3 linked regions of the Cricetulus griseus genome follow. The protein of the gene in region 1 interacts with the protein of each later gene in a pairwise test. Links are inferred from orthologs where the notes say so. Each region holds a gene or a part of one and is shown in the gene's direction. Other genes may lie near its edges.

Evidence for each region.
Region 2: the proteins of Gnai1 (region 1) and Ric8a interact in binary tests that used the Homo sapiens proteins (3 or more experiments, as listed by UniProt). The link is inferred for Cricetulus griseus from reciprocal best matches to the Homo sapiens genes GNAI1 and RIC8A.
Region 3: the proteins of Gnai1 (region 1) and Rgs19 interact in a two-hybrid assay, tested with the Homo sapiens proteins (2 studies listed by BioGRID). The link is inferred for Cricetulus griseus from reciprocal best matches to the Homo sapiens genes GNAI1 and RGS19.

What each region holds. Positions count from the first base shown.
Region 1 is NW_023276806.1:175,950,362-175,953,792, forward strand, and holds the end of Gnai1 (guanine nucleotide-binding protein G(i) subunit alpha-1), read left to right. Parts: intron 1-2,740; coding exon 2,741-2,931; downstream 2,932-3,431. UniProt on the Homo sapiens protein: Guanine nucleotide-binding proteins (G proteins) function as transducers downstream of G protein-coupled receptors (GPCRs) in numerous signaling cascades.
Region 2 is NC_048596.1:60,341,408-60,345,333, reverse strand, and holds the start of Ric8a (synembryn-A), read left to right. Parts: upstream 1-1,126; 5' UTR 1,127-1,179; coding exon 1,180-1,263; intron 1,264-1,559; coding exon 1,560-1,607; intron 1,608-1,695; coding exon 1,696-2,286; intron 2,287-2,587; coding exon 2,588-2,679; intron 2,680-3,140; coding exon 3,141-3,291; intron 3,292-3,926. Other genes in the region: Bet1l (BET1-like protein), read right to left, coding at 1-115.
Region 3 is NC_048599.1:214,936-219,062, forward strand, and holds the start of Rgs19 (regulator of G-protein signaling 19), read left to right. Parts: upstream 1-1,327; 5' UTR 1,328-1,483; intron 1,484-1,511; exon of another isoform or gene 1,512-1,677; intron 1,678-1,840; exon of another isoform or gene 1,841-2,007; intron 2,008-2,150; exon of another isoform or gene 2,151-2,211; intron 2,212-2,541; exon of another isoform or gene 2,542-3,247; intron 3,248-3,923; 5' UTR 3,924-3,996; coding exon 3,997-4,026; intron 4,027-4,127. UniProt on the Homo sapiens protein: Inhibits signal transduction by increasing the GTPase activity of G protein alpha subunits thereby driving them into their inactive GDP-bound form. Binds to G-alpha subfamily 1 members, with the order G(i)a3 > G(i)a1 > G(o)a >> G(z)a/G(i)a2.

The sequences.
Region 1 (3,431 bases):
CAAATTTCTCTCTGCAGCCCCTTACTTCTAATTTCAACTGCTTTCTGAACATAGTTGTGAGCACTGAAGTATAAACAAAGTTAATACTGTTTTCTTTCTCTCCTCTTTTCACTGTCTCATAAAGTTTCCAGTTGCTTTATCCCAGTCATATATTCATTCAGGAAAGTTCACACAGTTGAAAATACCTGTTTCCCCAGCATGGCTGTGCACACACTGCAACAAACACACATGTACACACTTTGCTCCTTCGTCTTTCATTTTTCACATGGAAAATCAGATCAAAGAATGTGTTCAGGAGTTTATTCATGTATTTGGTAAACCTTGGAGTGTAGCAATTTAGCTATCCAAAATGTGTGTTGCATATGAACTATGTACTAGGTGTAAACTCCTTTACCTAAACACATGTGTTATTAATTAATTAATGGGTTACATTTTAATAGCTTCCTTAACCCAACAAGCCATTGTTCATTGCATCCAAATTTTGGAGCACCAATGATTTAATAAAATATGATGTTTATAAAGTTATTATGATATAAAACAATTAAAATATAAACATATTCAGGGTCTATAGTTTTATCATTTTTGCTGCCCAGGCACACTAAACACAATCTCTCTCTCTCTGGGTCCTGTCATGTGACATCCATTGTACTGTAGTTTCATGCAAGGTCTGATGAAAGTGGTTGGGGTTTGCAAGATAGAGTTATTGCATTCTATTTAGGATACCTAGTGCCGAAAACAAATTGAGACCCCAGTAAAGCATATAACAAAACTGGAGTAGTATTTCTATTGTCTGTAGGAGTTCTTAGTGATACAGAGCCCATCTGGATTTGGATAATTATCGGATATTATGTAGAGTGCATTTTGAGCAGATGTGGAAAGAGCCAGACACACTGGATTGTGAAGGACAGCAGGGAAACAGTGCTGCAGAATAAGGGGCACTTTATATAATGATTTTTAGTGATACACACTGAGCCCCAGATGTGGACCTGAGCACCTAAGAGCAAAGTTTGAGAGCATGGAGAGTCTTGAAAGGCAGACAAGTAATGTGGGGTTATTACAAAAGAAAACCACAACAATTAAAAAGCAGAGTTGTGGAACCCACTCACTATCTGTGCATCTACAAAACACTCTTGAACTAAGGCTCAGAGAACAATGCTGAAGAGGGGCAGAAAGATTTGAGGGCCAGAAGGTCACAGAGTTCACTGTGGGATTGTGTCTCCTAGTAACATGAGAAGCTATGTCCCTAGTATCACCAACATGACTGCCTGAACAAGGACAACAGCAGTAGACATGCCAAAGTGGATAGGGAAAATCCAGGGGGCCTCCACCCTACAAGGAGAACTACAGGCAACTAAGGAATGCTGAAAACAAGAGAAACAGTCTCCCCCAGGGAAAAGCACAGCAACTGATTATCCAATACCAAATAGTCAGCCCTGAGAACACACATACAAACAACCTTATACAGACTGAGCAGGTTGTATTTAGGAATATAATATGTATGAGGATATACATATTTATATGTAATAGCAATTAATGAAAAAGGAGGCTGTGAATTTAAAAGAGAGCAAGGAGGGATACATGGCAGGGTTTGTAGGGAGGAAAGGAAACAGAAAAATGATGTAATTATACTATAATCTCAAAACTAAAAATAATTAAAGAGAAAACAAACAGGGGAAAGTGAACATACAATATAAAAATGCAAATTTAATATCTACTACATGAGTTAAGAAGCTGAACTTACCAATATCCCAGAATCCCTTTGCCCCCTTTCAGTCTCAACTAATTTTCTCCCCCAACAAATTTATTTAATAGTGGCTTTTTCCTCACACACCCATTTTTATTGTTTTGCAAACAGCAATTAGGTCACACGGGGTATGTACATGTTTGTGTCTGGCTCCTTGCATCCAGAGATTGCCACAGAAGTTCACTTGTGTTACTCTGTCTTGCAACATGCTTACATCCTTACTTCTGAGTGGCAGCTAATAATGTGATTCTCCCAGATTCCTGTGTCAGTGACAAGGGACAGACTTTCAGGCTGTTTCCTGAAGTAGAAGGCTGTGCTCCACTAGCCTTCTTTGTGAGTCTTCCTTAAGCATAACATAAAGTTCTACCAAGCCTACATGCAACAACTGGAATTTCTGGGTCAGAGTATGTGTGTACTTATCCTCAGAGTCTGCCAACCCATTTCTGATTGTTCTCACTCAGAGCCGGTCTCTAATCACCATTGTTTTTTTCTTTTTGGTAACTTCATAACATTTAATTATATTATAGACCTGAATAAAGTTCTATTCAGTAAGTTCTGAATAAAAAAAAATGATGACAAAAGGATAATTAATGAGTAACTATGAAGGGGGAGAGGGAAGCATTCAGCCAACACTACTGATTCGCCAGTGGGTTAGCACAGTAATAGTTAACCGCCGTTATGGTTCAGTGACTGGGGATGTAGATGATAGAGGGTGATAAAAAAAAAAAAAAAAGAACTCTGGCTCTTGGAGACTTAAGCAGAAACACAGAAAACATAGAATACCATGTAAAGGAGATTTTAAGTTTAAAGATGGCTTGTGAAGACACAGTGTTTTTCATTTGAAAAAAAAAATCATTTTGTTTTAGAAGGGAAAGTGGGGTTACAGAGTCCATATATTTTATATGCAGAAAAGTGACCTGTGCTTTGACACGTATTTTCCTTAAGCCTATACAAGCATAACTTCTTGCAAACTTCTTTGCTTTTTTTCCATCTCAGGATCGAACACATATGAAGAGGCAGCTGCGTATATCCAGTGTCAGTTTGAAGACCTCAACAAAAGAAAGGACACAAAGGAGATATACACCCACTTCACCTGTGCAACAGACACGAAGAACGTGCAGTTTGTGTTTGATGCTGTAACAGATGTCATCATAAAGAATAATCTAAAAGATTGTGGTCTCTTCTAAGTTTTGCAGTTGGTAGTCACATGCATTTTCAAACCAAATGAGTACTTATATATGGATCTCTCTAGACTAGAGTCTCCCAGCAACACAGAATGTAGTATACAGCAAAAGCATCCTGGACCTGACCAAAGTTGCTCTGTTTTGTGTCTTTCTCTGAAAATAATAGGGTCATTCTCAAAGGTGAAGGATGATCCTGTGGTGTGAAAGTGAGGTGTGATATTTAGGCTGGGCTCTAGTGTACTGATGATTTCTGGGTAAGTGTAAATATGCAAATGTAAGATGTATTTATAAGTTTTGATTTCCCACATTATGTTTAGGTTGTAAGAGTGGCAACTTACGATTCTAGTGTGATGGTTTGGGGAATAACATAAATATTAAGTACCTTGTACCGAATGACAGATTAGTTCTGTGTTTGCCAGTTTTAAACAGCTTTATTTTATGTTAGTGTCCTATAAATTTTAGGTACCGTAGTTAATATTAGGAAATGTCATGGCCCTTACCTT
Region 2 (3,926 bases), on another chromosome or scaffold:
ACAAAAATGAAGTTGTTCCATGGAATGTAAATAAGGGAAGGGCGGGCCGCCTGCGTTCGTGCCCGCGGATTGGCCAGCAATAGTAGTCCCGAGATGTGGGTGGTACCCGGAGCATGAGCTCGGGCACAAACCGGGAGCTGAGGCTGGAAACCGGCTCGGTAAAGCTGCCGGATGCCTCGGGCGCTGCGGAAGCCCGAGTGTGAGAACTACAAGATGCGGAGGACGGACAGAACTGAAGGAGACTGGCGAAGGAGACGCCAGGGCCTGACACCGAGCAGGCGCAGGGCACGCGCCGGTTAGCTCAGCGGGTGGCAGATCATCCGCTGGAGCATGGCTTGTGTGTCACCGCGAGGTACACTCTCACCGACCATGCCTCCAGCCACGCGGAGTGCGGACCCGGCTCCCCAGCCACCCACCCTCTACCCAGCGTTGGAACGCCTCTCACACTGACGGGCCGCGGCTGGCCGCCCCTCCATTGCCCCTCCCATGGGAGTGGCTTTCTCCGGGTGGTTTTCGCTTCCCTCTGACCCTTCCTCATACACTGGGACTTTCTTTTTCCTTTGATGGCCACATTGTTTTTGATGGTTCGGTCTTTCGTTTGTTTTAAGGACGGTCTCACTATGTATCCCTGTCTGGCCTAGAACTCACAGATCTGCCTGCTTCTGCTTCTCGGGTGCTGGGATAAAGGCGTGCGCCACCTCGCCGAGCTATCCGCTTTATTTTGACCACCCGAGTCGTTGTGTTTGTCTTTCCCGCGGAGCATGAGCTTCAGGGTCTGGACCGTGGGGCTCCAGCTGACTAAGCGACCAGAAGATAGTGCTCCCTTCATCTCTCTCCCTGTTCCCTGACCGGTGCGTAAGGAGGGCGGTCCATGCGGGGGCCGAGACCCCACCTCCACGCCCCACGCCTGCTAGAGAGGAGGGAGAAAAGGGGGGCGAGGGGATGCTACTTGGCTAGCTAGCGCCGCTGTTCCAAGACGAGCCGCTCGGCGATCGCGGCCAGGTGGGCTCCACCTTAAACCGGAGGCCCGCCCCACGCCTGTGCACACCCTTTCTGCTCGGCTGTGCTCCCGGCATCCCTCACGCGTGGACTCGGGGCTTCCGGACCTGGGCGGAGCCCGCGGGTTTGGCCGATTGCGTCTTCCCAGCCCAAGCCTTCCAGCACCCGGTGCCAGGGGCCATGGAGCCCCGGGCAGTTGCGGATGCTTTGGAGACGGGAGAGGAAGACACAGTGACAGAAGCTCTGCAGTCGTTCAACCGGGAGGTGAGAGGCACCCGGCTGCTGAGGAAATTTCTTGGAGAGAGGAAGCAGTGGTGTGCGCGCAGCGCGGCCGGGGTGTGCGTGCGAGTGTGGCAGGGAGCACGGCCTTGGGAGGCGGGCTGGGCCTCGGGGGTTTCAGTGGTGGGGCAGGTGTAGGGGAAGCGAGGGTGGTGGGCCCTGCCTTGCGTTCAGAGCAATGGCTGCTGCCTCAGAGGTAAAAGCAGACCGGCTGCCCTGACTCGAGGAGCACAGGTCCTACCTGCGCGTGGACTTGAGCCTACTGGGTCTCCTCCCTGCAGCACTCCCAGAGCTTCACCTTCGATGATGCCCAACAGGAGGACAGGAAGGTAGGTGCCATCCCAAGGGGCTCCTAGGGCAGGCATGGGCTGCCCCAAGAAGAGGGACTGGTGGATCCACTTTTGTCCCTCCCCACAGAGACTCGCAAAGCTGCTGGTCTCCTTACTGGAGCAGGGCTTGTCACCGTCACACCGTGTCACCTGGCTGCAGACTATCCGAATCCTAACCCGAGACCGCAGCTGCCTGGACTCATTTGCCAGCCGCCAGAGCCTCCATGCACTAGCCTGCTATGCTGACATCACCATCTCAGAGGAGCCCATCCCACAGCCCCCAGACATGGATGTCTTACTCGAGTCTCTCAAATGCCTGTGCAATCTCGTGCTCAGCAGCCCCGCAGCGCAGATGCTAGCAGCAGAGGCTCGCCTGGTGGTGAGGCTAGTGGAGCGTGTGGGACTGTACCGCAAAAGGAGCTATCCCCACGAAGTCCAGTTCTTTGACCTGAGGCTCCTTTTCCTGCTAACTGCCCTTCGCACTGATGTGCGCCAGCAACTGTTTCAGGAGCTGCACGGTGTGCGCCTGCTGACTGAGGCGCTGGAACTGACGCTGGGGGTGGGCCCCAAAGAAAAACCCCCGGTGGTACTTCCGGCCCAAGAGACAGAGCGGGCCATGGAGATCCTCAAAGTGCTCTTTAACATCACCTTTGACTCTGTCAAGAGGGAGGTGGATGAGGTAAGTTGTAGCCTGAAGTCATGGGTGGGACTCAGCTCAGCTGGGACAGTTTTGTGGTTTTGCTTCCTTCCTGCCTCAACTTCCTGGGTGCCAGACATGGCAAGGATAATGGGACATCAAGGCAGGGAATCCAAGGAAGGTTTCTGAGCTGTGTTGTGGGGGTGTGTTTGTGGGAAGGCTTTAGGTGGCCAAAGGTCACCAACTGTGCTGTGGACAAAGCCAAGTGATCAGCTCCATGTGGCCCTGGAGCACTGGAACAGGGGACTCCTCCTTACAGGAGCCATTTTCTGTCTTTGGTTAGGAAGATGCTGCCCTTTACCGGTACCTGGGGACCCTTCTGCGGCACTGTGTGATGGTTGCTGCTGCTGGAGACCGCACAGAGGAGTTCCACGGGTAAGGGGCAGGACTTACCGTGTGTTGACAGTGGGGAGAGTACTTAGGCATGGGTACCCTAGTCCTCAGCCCTAGGTGTCAGTAGAAGCACCAGGTCCCACCGTAAGAGTATGACTGTCAGAGGGATGGGAAACCAGAGTGTTCCCAGAGAGCCCCAGGAACTCAGAATATGACTAGGGGAAGAGCTAAGGTGGAAACAATGGTGGCCCTGGCATTGTAAGGCAATGGTGTTCCTGCTGGTGGTGACCAATAAGTACCTCACCTGACTTGGTATCTCAGCTCAGACAGAATGGGACAGGCAGAAGTTTGTCTCCCCACCAAACTTGAATGGAGTACTACCTGCCCTTGCCTCTAGTCCTCGGTGCTGTCCTCAGTCCCCCATATCATGTATACCCCAGGAGAGGAGCCGGGGATTACTTCTGTGCTAGAGTTACTCTGTCAAGGCCTCTGTCTGTCCCCAGCCACACGGTGAATCTCCTGGGAAACTTGCCCCTCAAATGTTTGGATGTCCTTCTCGCCCTGGAGCTACACGAAGGATCCTTAGAGTTTATGGGAGTCAATATGGAAGTGATCAGTGCCCTTCTTGCCTTCCTAGAGAAGCGTCTGCACCAGGTAGGTGGAGGACCTGCTATGTTGTGGCTTCCATTTCTGCACCAGGGAGAGAGGTCAGCTTGAAGGTATAACTTGGACAGTTTCTCTGGTTGCTCTGTGGCCCCACCAGAGATAGCTATTCAGTCAGACCCTCTCCGAAGCTTGTGGATACAGCTTGTGTGTGGACCTCAATGCTGCTGATTCCCAAAGAAAAGCAGGCTTCTCAGGGTCTGCCAAGGTGAATGTTGTCTTTTAGGTCTCTGCAGTTCCCTGTTAAGTGATTCTCAGAAGCCTTTGGTTCCTGCTTCCCTAATGTTCCCATACATTGGCAGCCATAGGTGACAGCATTAGTTGTCCTGCATCTTTTGTTTTTTGTTTTTTATTTTTTATTTTGGTTTTTCAAGACAGGTTTTCTCTGTGTAGCCCTGGCTGTCGTGGAACTCACTCTGCAGATCAGGCTGACCTCAAACTCAGAGATCAGCCTGTCTCTGCCTCCCAAGTACTAGGATTAAAGGAATGACCCCAACCCCCACCTCCACCCCCACCCCCGTTGTCCCTCTGCATCTTAAGGAGACATAACCAAGGGTTACCTGACACCTACAGTTATAATATGGGACCAGAGAGCTGGTGATCTAGCCTATCCTGTGGAGCTCACA
Region 3 (4,127 bases), on another chromosome or scaffold:
TAGTGTCACTTGCTCAGTGCTCCTGGTCTCCTGCCTAGATTTAGGGGCATTCTCTGTGCTTAAAGATGCTAATTGAGTATAGAACAGATGTAAGGTAGCAGAGAACAAGTGGGTAGGCATGTAAAATGAACTGAGGGGAAGAACGCATACTGACTTCTACCCACAGCCAGTTGCCCACACCAAATACTGCAGAATCAGCTTTGTTTTGTTGTCTCCACCTGGTATTGACCCATTTCTACTGGGCCTCCTTATTCTAAACTGTGTCCACTTCTCAGGACTATTATCTAAAGCAACTACTACTGTTTAGATGGGCTTCTTAGCCTCTACCTTGCTTTGGAATCCATCAGGTGGCAGCTAAAGGGTTCTGGCTTTTTTCATCAAGCCCCACACAGCATTAGAGAAAGCCTGGTAGCCTCAGGCTCTCAACCAATGTTCTCTCTTCATCCAGACTCCCTGAACATCATGGCAACATCCTGCCCTCCTCACCTCTCACCCCATCCCTTTTGGGCCTGTCTCCCATTCTAGTCCACTGCAGTTAGCTCCAGGTCAGTCTGTCTGCCTGGGACCCGCTGCCTCAAGAGTGGGTATTTGCTTTGCACCTCTAACTTCTGTGGTCAGCATATACAACCTGTGCGATTAAAAAGTTTTTTTTTTTTTTTTTTTTTTTGCAAGACCCTAGCACCTGAACTGGTTAGGCTGTGTTCCAGTGCTAAGAAGGGCAGGAACCGCATGGCCCAAGCAACCACACACACCCTACAAACCAAGTCTAAAGTAGGGTCAGGGCCCCTGGACACTTGCCCAGAGCATGCTGGGATAATGAGCTAATTCAAATCTGCACCCAATAATAAAGGATCTGAAGAGCTGGCCAAAGAGTAAGGCCATTTGCAGAAAAGGCTATCTTGGAGCAATTTGAGGGGTCAATAGGGAGGGACTCAACTAGGCCCCAGAAACTTTCGGGGTAATTTGATATAAGAACCTGCATTCACAGTGCCCACCAAGCTGCAGTTCCTGAATCTCCCTTTCTCTGTGGACAGCAGAGTGACAGACCAGACTCAGAAATGCGAAGGGGTGGGGCGGACAGGGCAGTACAACAGGCCAGTCCTTCCCAAAGGCCTCTTCTCATCCTGCCAAGAAGCACACTGGGCTCAGCTCTGGTGCCCCACACTGCACTACCACAGAAAGGAAAGGCTGGGAAAACCTAGCTAACCAGACGGAGCGCCGGCTCAATCCACTGTCTGTGTACGACTCACCCCTCAGGGTCACCATGCCACGCTACCGCAGGACGACACGCCAGCGCGGGTGGGGCGCGGGAGCGGGCGCGGGGCGGGGCACTGCGGGCGAGCAGGCGCTGGGGCTCGAGGAAGTCCCGGCCCCTCTCTTTGGGGAAGTACCGTGGAGGCGCCTGCGCACTGCGCCTGCGCCCCCTCCCCGGCGACAAGCAGGACTTCGGATCGCGCGGGCGCTGTGACTCGGGGACTCTGCGGTGAGTGCGGCGCTGGACCGCGGGCGGGCCCCGGAGATGTAGATGCCGGCTCTGTTCCCGGACTTCAGCGACCAGCCCACGTGGACCTGGGTCGCGGTGGGACCGGAGCCCACCCCCTGCGCGTGGGGGAGGGAGAGCCGCAGCAAGGTTCCCCTTTTTCTTCAGCTCAGAGCTTTGAGAAGTAATTGCTAAAGGTGGGGGCCGGAAGAACCCAGGTTTCCGTGTCTCCCGCCCGCTAGCCTAGTGGGGAGGGGCCAGGCCAGACACCGATCCACCACCTTACCCACCCTTCGAGTTGGGTCCACTAGCCACTCGGCCCGGCGAGCCTTAGGGGTGAATGTTGCGCCCCCTCCACAGCCCCACCCGAGAGGGATTCTGTGCGCCTTCCTATCTCGCGAATACCCAGGAGTACATCTTGCTGTCTGACTTAAGTCCCTGCTGCTTTAGAGCACGCCCCTTCGGCAGCCAGGGTGGGGCCCAGACCGAACCTGGCCCTCCCGCCCCCATCCGCCTTTAGGTCGCTGGTGAGTGGGGCCTCATGGCGAATTCCTTAAGAAAGGGGTGGGGGCGTCAGAGACTGCGAGAGGGACCGCGAAGAAGAGACCAGCCCTCCAGACGACCCCACCAGCAGAAAGCAGTAACTGGGTGGGGGCCTACCATCCCACAGGTGGGCTTGGGCAGCGGGGTTCGCCATGGTGAGAGAGGTCTGGCCCGCCATGGAGGTACAGGTAGGACAATGACAGTGTGGGATGGAAGTGGGAATGGAACCCCTGTTACCCCCCCCCAAAGGTTCTTTTCTTTTCTTTCTTTTTTTTTTTTTTTTTTTTTTTTTTTTTTTTTTTTTTGGACTGGTCGGGCTTGAACATTTTCTTCTGTGGAGCAACACGGCAGCCATTCCCCAGGGAGCTTCTGTCCCCAGAGACCAGATTTGCTGCATTTGGTCTCAGCATAGACTTGGGAGGCCAACGCCTGGGAGGCTTGGGGAGGGAATGAGCCATCCAGTATCCGGAGATGGGGCAGGAAAACCCTAATTCAGATGCTGGGCTCCCCTTCCCTAGAAAGAAGGGAGGCGGTAGTCAAGAGCACTCTGGACGACATGGGTGGTCCCAACCGACCTTTGATGGGTGCAAGGAGCCAGGACAAGAGCCTGCAGCTGGGGAAAATGGCAGACACCTGCGTCTGCACAAACTGGACCCCAGCATCCAGGCCCCACACACCCCAGGCTGTTCCCTGTCCAGTCAGCTGGTTGGAGATGGAGCATCTGAGGGATGGTCTGCAGGGTGATGACTCTGGAGAGCCTAGAGACCTTAGGCTACTACACCCCTTCCTTTCCCTAGAAGCTCCACCCCAGGGAAGTACAGCCCAAGCTACTTTTGTGTCCTGGTTTGCACGCTGGGAGACTTGGGAACCCACCATCTCAGAAATCGAGCCAGGTGGTGGGGCTGCCCTCAGTGTACAGACCTCAGGCAGAAGAGGATAAAGGGCCTCCCTCTGCTGGATTCAGGGCTACAGGAGGGTGGATTTCATCGACAAAGTAACGTGAGCCCCAGGTTAATGTGAGGAAGGTGGGCAGAGCAGAGATCTTAAGGCCTGGATAGCCTAGCCTCCACCTGGTCAGAAATGGGCACAGGCTGGGGAGAGAGGAGGCATTCAAAACTGCTGCCAGGGTGCTAATTGGATGCTTTGCTTCTGTTTTTCCTGGGGACACTGGAATTTGAAGTCAGCTTTCAGAGGCCTGAGAGGTTCCTAGAACCCCCTGTGAAGGTGTGGTCCAAACATCAAGAATGATAAATCATATGAAAACCCATTGAAGAGCCCAAGGCTCCAGCTAAGCAGCTGATCCTCCCACATTGCCACCCCAGCTTCCATGGCTAGCACTCCCTGCTTCTGCATCCTCAGGAGAAAAAGGGAAACCAGGGTGAAGTGGGGGTGTCTGACGCAGCCAAGGACCTAAGAGCCTTGTTACCTAAGTACACATCTCTCGAGTAACCCCCCACCTCCATTCCTCACTTTCAGGAAGTCTTGTTCTGAATTCTACTCAAGTACTCTGGTGCCTCAGACCTAGCCCTCTGCAGTCATCTGGGTAGCATGTCTACCCACCTACCTAGAGGGAGGGAGCCATCAGAGTATCCTACCATCTCCATACCAGCCTGTAGCTCCAGTCCCCTTAGGAGGGGCCAGGAGCCGGAAGCCAAGAAAGAGGAACCCAGGCTTCCGGCTTCTTGGGGACTGAGTAGATGGGGGTATCTTAGAGCCCTTTGTGGGAGGCCCAACTGCAGTAGCCCCATCATTGCCTGGGGCACTTCCATATGGGGTTAGCACACAGACTTGGGGTAGAGCTCTGAGCAAGCTCCCTCTGAGGGACCTGAGGTGGTTGCAGAGGTTACAAGGTGGGCCCAGGTCACAGGCCCTCAGTCAGAACTCCCAACACTCTTCTCAGATCCAAGCTCCCAGACTGCAGTGAAGGTCCAGAGCTGGCACCACAGAATCTGTGCAACCCTCTCCACCCACACATGCCCACCCCACATGAGGCGGAGAAACAGGTAGGCACTTCCTCCCTCTAATTGGGTTCCTGGACACCTGAGGCCCTTGGGGGCACAGCCAGTTGGGCAGATGGGCAGACATAGGGTCCAGTGAATTCTGG